Linked DNA regions of Mus musculus: regions 2 and 3 are each reported to be linked to region 1. The links are microRNA targets in miRTarBase. Many come from high-throughput screens and were not tested one by one. Region 1 holds a microRNA gene; each other region holds the end of a gene's coding sequence.
The links. Region 1 holds the annotated microRNA mmu-miR-742-3p (GAAAGCCACCAUGCUGGGUAAA, at 1,358-1,379, shown strand). A microRNA usually pairs through its seed, bases 2 to 8, with sites in the 3' UTR of a target mRNA and lowers its output. Matches are read on the target gene's strand: a 7mer-m8 pairs with bases 2 to 8, a 7mer-A1 pairs with bases 2 to 7 and ends in A, and an 8mer does both.

Region 2: the mRNA of Rab2b is a reported target of mmu-miR-742-3p. Seed matches in the 3' UTR shown: 7mer-m8 at 2,037-2,043.
Region 3: miRTarBase lists Dstyk as a target of mmu-miR-742-3p. Seed matches in the 3' UTR shown: 7mer-m8 at 4,202-4,208.

Annotation. Positions count from the first base shown.
Region 1 is chrX:66,777,492-66,781,754 of GRCm38, reverse strand. Mir742 (microRNA 742) reads left to right here and starts at 1,318; the gene lies at 1,318-1,382. It overlaps Mir883a (microRNA 883a), which reads left to right and starts at 922; the gene lies at 922-997. It also overlaps the pseudogene Gm14681.
Region 2 is chr14:52,260,376-52,264,638 of GRCm38, reverse strand. It overlaps Rab2b (RAB2B, member RAS oncogene family), which reads left to right. Exons shown (of 8, transcript NM_172601.3): 8 at 822-2,880. The coding sequence ends at 929. Among named protein-coding and RNA genes, the nearest start is that of Chd8, 4.7 kb to the right of the region's middle.
Region 3 is chr1:132,462,399-132,466,661 of GRCm38, forward strand. Dstyk (dual serine/threonine and tyrosine protein kinase) reads left to right here. Exons shown (of 13, transcript NM_172516.4): 12 at 515-649; 13 at 926-4,263. The coding sequence ends at 1,113. 6030442K20Rik (RIKEN cDNA 6030442K20 gene) reads right to left here. Exons shown (of 2, transcript NR_165177.1): 2 at 4,230-4,263. Among named protein-coding and RNA genes, the nearest start is that of 6030442K20Rik, 13 kb to the right of the region's middle.

The sequences.
Region 1 (4,263 bases):
ATGTGGACATGGAACCTGAAGAGGCCACCTCCTATAAACAGGCAGGACCTCCTGTGAAAGATAAGGACACGAACCCACCCATAAAACTTTTGACCTAAAATCCACATTTTTTAAATTATATTTTTATTAATCCTTTACAATTTCATATTCACTTTGGTCATAATTATAATTAAGTTTGATAAAAGAATATGTTTTGTTGTGATCATCATTTCTCTTTAAGTTAGGGTAGTGACAGGTTTTTATGTGAAATGTACATGCAAAATCAATTGGATTTTCAATATCATCAGCTTAAGTGTGAAATCAAACATTTACAGACACAGTTTAGTGGGGGTGTGTTTAATTGTGAAGATTGTGATAAAAGCTGTTGGATGAAATTGTTGTTGTTGAGATGAAGTACAAAGGATCAGTCTATGCTATCTCAAAGTACAGATTAATACATACTGAAGCCTTCATTTGATATATTCTCTTGATGCTGATGACTAAATCATTGCAGGTATCTTGAGGTCTTGCCTTGTTCATTTGTTATTCTTTGGTGTCACCTGACCTATATATTTATAAGAATATTTGTCTTGTTAATTCTATTTTTGTTTTGTTTTGTTTTGTTTTTTTGAGACAGGGTTTCTCTGTTGACCAGGCTGGCCTTAAACGAACTCAGAAATCCGCCTGCCTCTGCCTTCCGAGTGATGGGATTCACGCCCGGCTATGACTTGTTAATTCTTAACCTCTTGAATTCATACAGATTCGAGGAGTATCAAGAAAGAAGCAAGTCTGATACCTTGAAATGGAGATGGAAGATAATGGAAAATATGATTATACTTCCTGAGGAATTATGTGTAAAGAAATAACATTGCATTCATGTCATACTGAGAAGAATCATGAAAGTTGTTTTTGAAGTCAGCTGATAATAATAATAATTCGTGTGCACTATAATGCTGAGAGAAGTAGCAGTTACTTTATTCTATAAGTAACTGCAACAGCTCTCAGTATTGTAAGGCTCAACAAACGCAGGGATGGTAGCCATATGGTCATATTATGCCTTCATAGAGAAGATAAATGTACTGATTCTGGATTATACTTCATCCATCTTCATGATATCTTCAGATCTATAACCATAGAGAAGAGAACGGTTGTAGAACTTTAGAAGTATACTAAGAAAAATCCTAATGGTGGAACATGAGAAGACAGCTTCGAAGAAGAATGTGTGGTTAAAAAAAAAAAGTAATTATTGTTGACGACTTACTTCAATGTTCTATTCAATTTTATTTCACATGTTGAAATAAAGACTTCAGATGGGCTGGTTCTAGAGTACCTGGGCAGTGCTCTACTCACATGGTTGCTAATCACGTGAAGTGTAGGTGAAAGCCACCATGCTGGGTAAAGTAAAGCTCATCATGTTCTTCATTTGTTGTGGCCTTGGGTAGTAAAGATGAAGAAACTATACATCCTTATTATGGCTCCAGAATCTGCTTCCTTGTACCTGAAGAAACTATGCTCTCATTTTTTTTTTAAGTTTAAATGTTGTGGAAGTTAGCATTATTCTAGCTTGCACAGAACCCAAATTATACAAATTATAAGAACAGAAAATTGCATGCCAGTCTCAATAGGGATCATGAATATAAATATCAGAAATAAAACCAATCAATGATTTCAGGCCCAACTGAATATCAATTCAAATATCTTGTGACAACTTAGATGATGAGTGCACGAAAGTGGACTGAAAAGCTACAAGTAATTAGAGTCTTCCTTTATAAATATGGCCCTAAGTGAAAAAGAACCAAACAGATTTAAATTCAAGTCACTGAAATTATGATGGTATCAGTGATTTGAATTTAAATAGACCAAGTTCCTATCTTCTGTATTCTGTAACTTTCTCCAGTAATTGAACAGCGATATACAGGTACAATTGTGTTGTATTCTCATCCTATGCTCCCAATATTCTGATTCTTTTAGAAGATTTTCATTACCTAGTTTTTAAAAGTCATTTGCAAAGTATATCACTGATTAATCTTAAAGTCACACTGGCTATCTGGCTATAGGTCAAGAGGTCTTCCTTTATCATGCAAGGTGACAAAGTATATTTTGTATTCCCAAACAGTTGAAAATAAATAAATCAATGTTAATATGTCATGCTGTAATTGGTGAAGTGATGAAAACTGCTTGGGATGATTAGCCTACATGGATGATACCTCCATATCTTCATGCTTTATGTTATATCTCACTCAAGAAGCTGTTAGACAGTTGGACTACCGACAAATCTTCCAGGTAAAGTACTGCTCTTTAATTCAGTTATTTTTGATAGGTTCTAGGTAGTATTAGTGCTTTCCATGTAAGATCACTGATAATGGTTTTCAGGATGATCACAAAGCCTTACTATACAATTGTGTGTATCTTTTTAATCACTTTCATGGGACAGCATTCAAGCATCTATGTTAGGTAAGGAAAAGGAGAACAAGGTGCTAAAATTAAGAATTATGCTTTCATAAAAAGAAAATGAGGTACACTGTGTTAATGAAAGACTAAACACAGAAACGGTTTGAGTCTTTGTTGCCCCATATCCTTACTTTTTCAACATAGTGTAGACTATCCATGTTTCACCTCATGGGTACTTTCAAAATAGAGAATGTAAAGAAAGAAGATAATCTAAAGAAAAAAAAAATAATTTCCTTCCCAGTAATTAAATAAAGTTAAAGGACTTTTATCTCTCTGATCCAGAAGTGGTAGAGATAGAAAGTGAAGGAGAGTATATATATTCCCTAAGAACTTGAGTTAAGGACTCCTGAAACTTCTTGGTAATGCAAGAGTCAGATGAGATGATATGTCTCCATTCATTTTGGTGTGTGCATTGTGATATAGGACAGATACCAGTCACTTTCTACTAACCTCTCTCAATATAAGGATACAGAAAAAAGTAAAACTTGATGAAGATGATGAGGACGATGATGAGGATGATGAGGATGATGATGATGATGATTTTGATGAAGAGGAAACTGAAGAAAAGGTCCCAGTGAAGAAATCTGTACGAGATACCCCAGCCAAAAATGCACAAAAATCAAACCAAAATGGAAAAGACTTAAAACCGTCAACACCGAGATCAAAGGGTCAAGAGTCCTTCAAAAAACAGGAAAAGACTCCTAAAACACCAAAAGGACCTAGTTCTGTAGAAGACATTAAGGCAAAAATGCAAGCAAGTATAGAAAAAGGCGGTTCTCTTCCCAAAGTGGAAGCCAAGTTCATTAATTATGTGAAGAATTGTTTCCGGATGACTGACCAGGAGGCTATTCAAGATCTCTGGCAGTGGAGGAAGTCTCTTTAAGAAAAGGGTTTAAACAGTTTAAACAGTTTGGGGTATCTCTCTCAATATAAGGATACTCATAAAGTACTGTCATTGTAAATGTAAGAACATAGATGCACATGCAAGAGTATTTTCTGATTCTAAGATCGATTGTAGCTACCTTCACAGGACATTGTTTAGGTGAAGATATAGGGGGAACCTTTCATCTAATTCCTATTTCTCATAGGTGAAAATATTTAAAATTAGGGACATAGCACTATGGAAAATAAGTTTAGTTTCATTTTAATTTTTAAGTGCTTTTTAAATTAAAATATTTTATAATTCTCCCCTTTCGTTTCTTCCCTTCAGCCACTCTAATCAACTAACCCCTTTGTTCTCTCTCTCATTCATGCCCTGCTTAGTCCATATTTTGAAAGTTTTATGTATGTTATTTCAGTGCTGACCATGGAAAAGCAGTTGGTGGGCTCTTCTCTGCTGAGTACTATTTCTCCTGAAAGCTTTTTAGTGTCAATCCCTATACACATTAATGTCAGTGAGACTTAAGTGCGTGTACACATGGTCTCTCAGAGTGAGTAATGTTCAACAAGCTCCTTACTTTGTATACCCTGGACCTTATACTTCGTCTTCAAAGGCATCCTTGAGATTGCTACCATTTTCATCATTTCTCATTTAAAGCCCCACTTTTTTAGACTTAAAAGGTGCTTAAGGTTGTACACATGCCTCAAAATGGTCAGAGAGTGCAATTATAAAAGTAATATGTTTATTATTAATGGATATTTAATATCAGCAAAATGAGATAAAAAATTGGGATCACAACATTCAGAAGGAGAAATGAAAGGTGAAGGATTTTGTCATTTCCTGGACCTGTGAATAAAGAAATCTAGTGTTCACCTATCACACTAGACTACAAGAATTGATGAAGGCTCATGAAAACTAGTATATACTGTATTTATCTTCACAGCATACATCCT
Region 2 (4,263 bases), not on the chromosome of region 1:
GCGTTCCTGCCTGATGTCACACTGATCACAGGTGGTTTTTAGGTGCAGGTATCTAAGACCCCACATTACATTCTGTTTACTCTCAGTCTGAACCCCATACATATTGTTGAGAGAGATATGCCAGTGATTTACAGACGTACATAATATGAGCGTTTTTCTCCTTGACCTCAGTTTTTTACTATTGGAGAGAGAGAGAGGATTTTTCATTTCTTAGGAGGGAAAATTCTGAGACAAAACAAAGAATCATATGCTAATTTGTTTGCCACTTCTACTCTTTTGCTTTGCTTACTCTTTTAAAAAAAGAATTTTTTTCTTATGTATATTGTATGTGATGAGCATGTATATATATGCATGTTTACATATGTGTTGGGAAAAATGTGGGTGTTCATCTGGAGGCAACAGGTGTCTTTTCATTGCTGTTCACCTTACACACTGAGGCAGGTTTGCTCTGGGGACTCCCTGTATCTTTGCTTCTAAGGACTGGGATTGTAGGTGAGCTGCTATGCCCGTCTGGCTTCTGTCTGGTTTCTAGGGATCTAATTGTGGTCGTCATGCTTATATGGCAAGTATTTCCCCTGCTGAGCGCCCCCTCCGTCACACCTGAATTCTGTAGACAGCTATGAAATCTGTGTGCATCTTGAAACAAGCCAACTCCACCCTCACCAACTGGCTCTCCTCATAACCAGTCATCTCACTCTTTCAACAGTTTGTCTAGAGGACACAATTCTTAGAATTTAACTAAAGGGTTCTCCTGTATCTCTGTCCTTCCTTCGAATTCTCTTCAGCTCTGATGCAGGAATTGCTGCCTTTCTCCTTTACAGGCAAATGGCATCAAGATTGGGCCCCAGCAGTCAATTACCTCCTCAGTAGGACCGTGCTCCCCTCAGCAGAACGTTTCTGACATAGGGCCTGACTCTGGCTGCTGCTGAACACCGGGCCTGAGTGAGCGCTTTCTCTTTCCTCTCGGGGAGCAGCTTCAGGTCAGCCAGCGCCACGAAGGAGATCCTCGTTGCTTAGGCTGAGAGCAGCCTCTTTTCAGTGTGCGATGTTTCACCCTTCCACTTAAAACATGAGGAGAAAATTGGGCCCTTTCCGACCTGTCCTCCTTTAGGGACATGAGCATTCCGCGTAGATTATGGCTCTTTCACCCTCTAGTTTCTAAAATGTTAGAATCAAAGTTGATTGTCACAGTAGCTAAAAGGCAAACAACTTGCTGTCAACATCTATTTGCTAGGTGTTATGGCACATACCCATAATTTCAGCACTCAGGACTTTTGGCAAAAGGATTGCCAGGAGTTTTGGAGTCAGTCTGGGCTACATAAGTTTCCCTAGGCCATCTGTCTAAAAAAGCCAAAAAGAAAAGAGAGAAAGGAATAAATACATGTGTCTGTTCCTCACCCAATTTTTAGTTGCTAAGGTGAAGGATATTCTGATATAACATTTAGAATTAAGGGTCTGAGTAGCCTTTGGGTGATAGATCTATACATAGTGATTTCATTGCGTGTATTTCCTTGCCTTGGAAACCTGTGTGTCATATGATAAGAGTTCCTATAGAAGCTGAGTGCCTCTGCACTGTCTCGTTGCCAGCTCCTTTTTATTTATTATGTGTGTACAACCTTGAGCATCATTCCTTAGGATCCCCGCACATGGGCCCCACATCTCTAGAGTGCCATGCTTAGGCAAGGCTTGCTGGCCTTTTTCATTGCTAGTTCTTTTCCTTAACTACAGAACGTAGAAAGCAGTGGAGTGGGTACCGGACCTGTCGCCACACACCCTTACCTAAGAAAACATAAGTTGTTCATTTTGCTTAAAGGACCAGTTCTAGCATTACATTTTCTTTTACCGAATTGCTCTCTCTACTGTTACACACACACACACACACACACACACACACACAGGCACACATGCGAGCCCGTGCACATGCCCTGGAGATTAAGCTAGGTTCTTAAACATGCTTAGGAAGTGCTGAACCTGAGCTGTGCCCTCAGGAGCCTTCTCTTACTTACACTTTTTGTTTACAGACAGGTTGCTGAGGCTGGCTTTGAACTTGGGATCCTGAGGCTTCAGACTCCCAGGTGGCTGTTTATTCTCTCTAACCAGCTCTGTTAGATATTTCCTCTAATCAAGCTAATTGGTTACTGAAATGACATATTTATCCCAACTTCTGTACCTTTGCACAAACTCTACCCTCTGACCCTCCACTACCATCATACTGACACTCTTTTCCTTTAGGAAACCCTCACTGACTGACCTAGGGAGCCCTACGAAGTTGTTAACACAGTACTTCTTAGCATTCCTACGTTATCCATATGTATATTTATTTGTATGTGTTTCACGTTATAAATGTTTTGTAGTGAACCCAGGGTGGGTGAGGGGGAAGCATCTGTCTCACATAGGCTGTAAGCTCTCTGAGAGCAGGCACCTGTCATCCCAGTCCATCCCACCGTTCCCTTACTGTACTCTGCAACTCACCATCTGGAATTAAGTGACATGCTTTAAAACTTAAGAGTTTAGAAGAAACAAAAGGCCTTAGAGTCATCTCTATGTAATTGTATCCTGGTTTCCCCATCTCCTTATCCTGATTTCTCATTGCTCTTCTGTCCTGCCTCACTGTAACTGCCTCCATTCTGTGCAGTCTACAGTAAGAATGCCTGCTTCCAAGACTCAGATACATAGGGACGTTTTTACCCGTTCCGTAGACTCTGTAACTGTCAGCCCAGTTTGCCTCTGCTGACTCCTGGCATCACCTCCTGGGACACTTGCTGTCTTTTTTACTTGTCTCATTTTCTTTCACAGCACTGAGGTCTCACCAAATTTTCTAATTTTTATTGTTAATGACCGTTTTACTATTAAATATATGCATGATCCAAGCTACTTTTATTTCATGTGTCATTTCTGACTATACCCTGAGTGTAAATGGATACTATCCTCCTAGAATATTGCATCAAAGATAATTCCTTCTTAGAATTGGTTTTATTCTGAATTCTGTTCCTTATAGTAGCAGTAAAGTTAACATTGTACCATAGGAAATGAGAGGTCATCTGGGCATTGAGCTGATTATGCTTCTGGTCTTTGGATTTTAACCCTACCTCATTCCACAAAGGTTTAGTGGTTGTTGAATTTATATTCAGCCTGTTTCTTTGTTTGTTTTGTTTTGTTTTGTTTTGTTTTGTTTTAACCAGGCACAAAACTGAGTATATAATTTAGTTCTTTTCATTTTTCCTTCATCCCTCCCTCATTTCTTTTCTCTCTTCCTTTCTTTTTAAGTCTGGTGAGGTAGCTTAGGCTATCCTAGAACTCCTGATCTTCCTGTGTTAGCCTCCTGAGTACTGAATGTGCCAATGCACCCATCAATGCTATAGTTTCTGTTGAAAAGTTCTTTACTGTTCAGATTTTTCTAGCAATTCACAAGCATTAGAGATAGTATTTTACCTATGGCTGTTACTCTTGGAGTGATGAAAGTGACCATCCTGACTTTTTTTTTTTTTTTGGAACGTAAAAACCTAATTCTCACACCTAGTATTATATTTTATAACCTTCCATACTTGATATTTTTCTTGTTTTGAAAAGAAACAAAAAGCTGTGGCTTATTATAAATTCATGACCTGAGTCAAGTGATAATGAATTAATACAAAAGCATCTCCCACCCCAATGTGCTGAATGGTAATTATGCGATATTTTGAAATCATGAACACTGAAAATCATATCATTTATAGCAACACATCAGTGTAGCTAGCAGAAACCACTGGGCCAGACACGCCCCTCCCACAATGCTTATAATGACTTCCTTTGTTGGTGGGTCTTATATTCTGTACCAGAAACTAACCAGAAGGATAATAGTCTCTTATTATAGAAACCATTAATAATTAGGATTATATCTCTGTGCATTTACACATAAACACATTAACAAATTTATACAGTGGTATTTAGAGCTAGGGAAGAATTTGCTCAGTATAGTCACAGCTCCTCATAAAATATTGACACAACACCCTTCCCCTTTGGTTTTGTTGGTCTTTTCTTTCTTTCTTTCTTTCTTTCTTTCTTTCTTTCTTTCTTTCTTTCTTTCTTTCTTTCTTCCTTCCTTCCTTCCTTCCTTCCTTCCTTCCTTCCTTCCTTTCTTTCTTTCTTTCTTTCTTTCTTTCTTTCTTTCTTTCTTTTTTTTTTTTAGGGCTGTCCTGGAACTCACTTTGTAGACCAGGCTGGCCTCAAACTCAGAAATCCACCTGTCTCTGCCTTCCAAATGCTGGGATTAAAGGCATTCGC
Region 3 (4,263 bases), not on the chromosome of region 1:
GCCAGCTTAAATTCTTCTTACTGTTGTCTACCCTATTGCTGTGGTACCCCTGCTACGACCTTCTGCTACCCACCAACTCTAGACTCTTCTCTGCCTTTAAGATCTTTGTATGAGAGATAGGATCTTCCTGTGTATCCTAGACTGGCCTTAAACTATACTTCTGCCTCAGTCTTTTGAGTGCTGGGATTACAGGTGTCCACCACCACACCTGCCAGTCTTTATAATTTTTATTTTCTGAGTCCCACCCATAGTTCTCTAATATGGCCCCTTATAGAACTGATCTTGCAGACTGTCCCAATAAAATGAATGGCCTGATTTTCCTTCTGTTTTGACAAATTTTTGTCTTGGCTGTCTTAGCATCTAGCTTTCCATATTATAAAATGGGCACTACAGGTGTGCCCTGCCTTCCAGGCAAGTTGTGAAGAACAGTAGACATTAAAAGCTTTTCAAAATTGTGTAAGGAACCATAGACACAAGATGGTGGCTCACTATCGCTCGTCTGTCTTTACTGTAGGAAAGTATGATAACTCTGTGGACGTCTATGCTTTTGGGATCCTTTTTTGGTATATCTGCTCCGGCTCTATCAAGCTCCCTGAGGCATTTGAGAGGTGTGCTAGCAAAGACCATCTCTGGAATAATGTGCGCAGAGGTAAGACTCACCAAGCCACTTGGCTTGAACTCTCTGAGAGCAGACAGCCTGGATACCACAGCAGGGCACCCTCATCTTCTGGCCACTCCACAGCATGGCCACATCAGACAGACCATCATATAATGCTGAAGGGACACTATAAACCAGACCTTTGCTAACTGGCAGCATTATACCAGTTTCCACCATTCCTGTTGCATTACAGCTGAGGTGTCTGCTGTGGAAACCCAAACCCTTTGCTCTCCCAGACTGGCTTCACTTCCTTGCTCTTTTCTCTAGGGACCCGTCCAGAGCGTCTTCCTGTGTTTGATGAGGAGTGCTGGCAGTTGATGGAGGCGTGTTGGGATGGTGACCCCTTGAAGAGGCCCCTCTTGGGCATCGTGCAGCCTATGCTCCGAAGCATTATGGACCGGCTCTGCAAGTGCAGCTCTGAACAACCAAACAGAGGACTAGACGATTCTACTTGAAGACAAAACCCTTTCTCTTCCACTCTGTTCCTTCCTTCCCTCTCACCTTTTGGCCATGGGGAGAATTTGTCATTTGTTCATTAAGGAGGCTCCCAAGGGAACTGGTGCTTGGTGGCAACTCGAAGCCTTCCTGGGTAGGGATGGCTCCTGGGCAGTGAAGAAGTCAGTGGCTGTTTAGTGTTCACACTACCTTACACTGCCTCTTTGGCAAAAGACTGTCTCAGATGTTTAAAAGCTGAAGAATGTGATGTTCTGGCCTCAGAACTGAAAAGGAGACAACTGTTACCACTGTCTGCTCGCTGTGTGTCACTAAAACAAGACAGGCTTGCAGTGCAGGGCATCAGTCCAGCGGTAGAGACCACTTAGAAACATGACCTTAGTTCCAGATTGTATGGTCATAAAGGCAAAAACCAAACCAACCTAGCCAGATAGACCTGAGGTTGTCTGGTTCTTGGTCTTTATAGCCAGGATCTCAGGTTGTTACAGTCAAAGACCCAGGAGGCAGTTAGACATGAAGCTGTCTGTCCTCACAACCCAGTGTGTTTACATTTCCAGGGCCAGGGAGCCCTGGTTTCTGTGGGGCAGAGCTAACCCAGAACAGAATCTGTTTGATTCTTGTGTCTTTCCCCACCCTCTACCCTTCTTTTTCCTCAAAAAAGAAAGGAGGGAATAAACCAGATAACATGGTACTTGGGCTTGAGCATCTAGTCAGAAATAGGCTATAATTTTGTTGTTTTTAATGGGATGTAGCCCAGGCTAGCCTTAAGTCATCCATATGCTACCATGCATAGCTTCTAACTATATAACTCGCTCCTTTCTTCTTCCGTGCTAGGGATCAATCCCACTGCTCAGATATTGCTGGTAAGCACTCTCCCATGGGCTATGCTCCAGCTCCATATAGCTTTCCAAGTTCACTTTGAACACTCTGCACCATGAACTCTGATAATTGTGCAGTTGAGCATGGTGGTCTACACACTCACAGCTCTTCAGAAACGCCAGGTAATGCTTTCTACATGCAAACTGGAATGGACAAGTGGCGGGCCATTGTCTTTGGGTTCCTTGGCTCTGGTTCATTTTGGCAGAATGCTTAGTCTAGCTTTTAGAATTTTAACACCTACTCAACTATACTTAGTTACTCTACTCTGAGGGTTAACATGTTGCTCTCTGGAGACAGTAGGACGTACAGGAAGCCAAGGAGTCAGGAGGGAAGAAATGAGTCGTCTCAGCTTGTTAGGTCTGTGGTGCGTGAAACCTGAGATCTTGTGTAGTTAGAAGACTGCTGACCCTGCTCTTGAGTCTAGCTGTAATAAAGAGGCGGTAGCTCCAGTATGGAACTATATTCCTAACATTCTTTGGACCACTTAGCCCACACTCAGACTCCTAAGTGGAGGTTAGAGTTTTGTTCCCTCATTCAGAGTCTCTTTTTCGTCTCCTGTCAGATTACAGGTTCCTTCTTTTAATTTTAAAAAGCCAGTTTTCATCATTTTCTGCTCAGTGGGAGGAGCAGAGAGATTAATGCCTTAGGGAAAGGAGGAGGAGTTGTATAGTTCATTCATTAGAGTAGCCGAGCAAGGCCCACGATAGTCCTGAGAGTATCCGGGCAAGCCAAAGGCCACATTGGGGGTATTTGGTGTTGGTATTTCAATGCTCAGCGGGCTGAGTATGTGAACACATATGTCTAATTTGTGTGTGTTGTACTTCATAACATTGTAAGCTATTTTTTGATTCTGTGGTTTTTGGCATCTACTATTATTTCAGCGATAAAATGCCACGAAATGTACTGTATTGTATATCACTTGGGAAGACACTAGGCGGTCAGAGAAGTGTGGTGGCACTTGGGTAGTACAGGGCTTGACAGGGCCAAAGTTTTGAAGATTTACCTCTGGGCTGAGTGAGGAAGAAGGGTGGCATGAAGAGTGCCATCCTTCAAAACAGTTGCCACAGCTCCAGCCCAGCACTGACACCCGGCTGCTTCTCGGGAGCTCAAAGTCTGGCCTCAGAATGGAGTGACAGGCCTTTCTGCAGAGCAATCAGAAAAAATGCCGGCAGAGTCTGAGCCCAAGAGCTGTATCTGAGGCCCAGATGACTGGCTTCTTGACTGAGCAATCTTTCAGTGTTCTCAGGAAGAGGACTATCCTAGTTGTTGCCAGACCAAAGAGAGTCACTTCTGACTCTGTCAAGTTTAAGGGACAGGGCTAGGCAGCCATGTTAACACTAATGCTCAAGAAAACCAAGGAAAGGCTGCAATGCTGTTACAGCCAGAGCAGGAGAATGGGAAACTGAACACCTGGCAGCTCCCAGGATGCTTTTCTGTATTTTTGCTTGAGCTGTCAAACAGGTTGGAGCACTCAGGGTAGAATGTGCTTAGCCTGCACATGGCCTTGGGTTCAGTGTCTAGAACCAAAAAAAAAAAAAAAAAAAGCCACAAAGGTCAAAGGGGTTGGAATGTTTTTCCTGACAGCAGTGGCCTGGGGTAGTAGGGCTGCACAGTGACAACTGCACTAAATGACACTTTATTATTGTCTTATTTAGCACTGAGAAGCCCGGGGGATAGGTGAGTACAGTCACTTAGTAAACTGAGGCACCCTTTGGTCTTGTCCTAGAGAGATGCCATCTTTGATCTAGCTTCCTGGGAGACCTGCCAAGCCCATGTTCTCCAGGATGGAGTAGCGGCCTTGGTAAAGTGTATCCCAAAGAGGGAGCTGCTTTAGGTGTTCAGAACTAGCATTTTGTATTGGGTCAAACAGTCCACATATTCCTTAAAAGAAAACGAGGACTTAGTTTTCTAAATGTTGGGGTGTGAGATGGAGCTGATATAATATTAGACTGTATCAGGAAGGGGTGGCCTTAAACAACACCTGTGCTGCAAACTCCCCTAGAAGTTTCAGGTAGTACTGTCCTTCTTAAGAGTTTTATTTTTAACTTCATGTGCTTTATTAGCATCTAGTGTGATTGTCATGGTGGTGAAGAATGTATATCTGACATCATCGGACAGACCAAGTAGCCTGGAGAGTTGACAAGAAGATTGTCTGGATGGCCTGCTGGGTTTTGCTTTTTGGGTTTTTGGGGGGTGGGGTGGGGAAGGAGTTGGCTTTTTTTTTTGTCTTTATGTAATGTTTTTGTTTTAAAGGACTAATGTTTATTACAGTG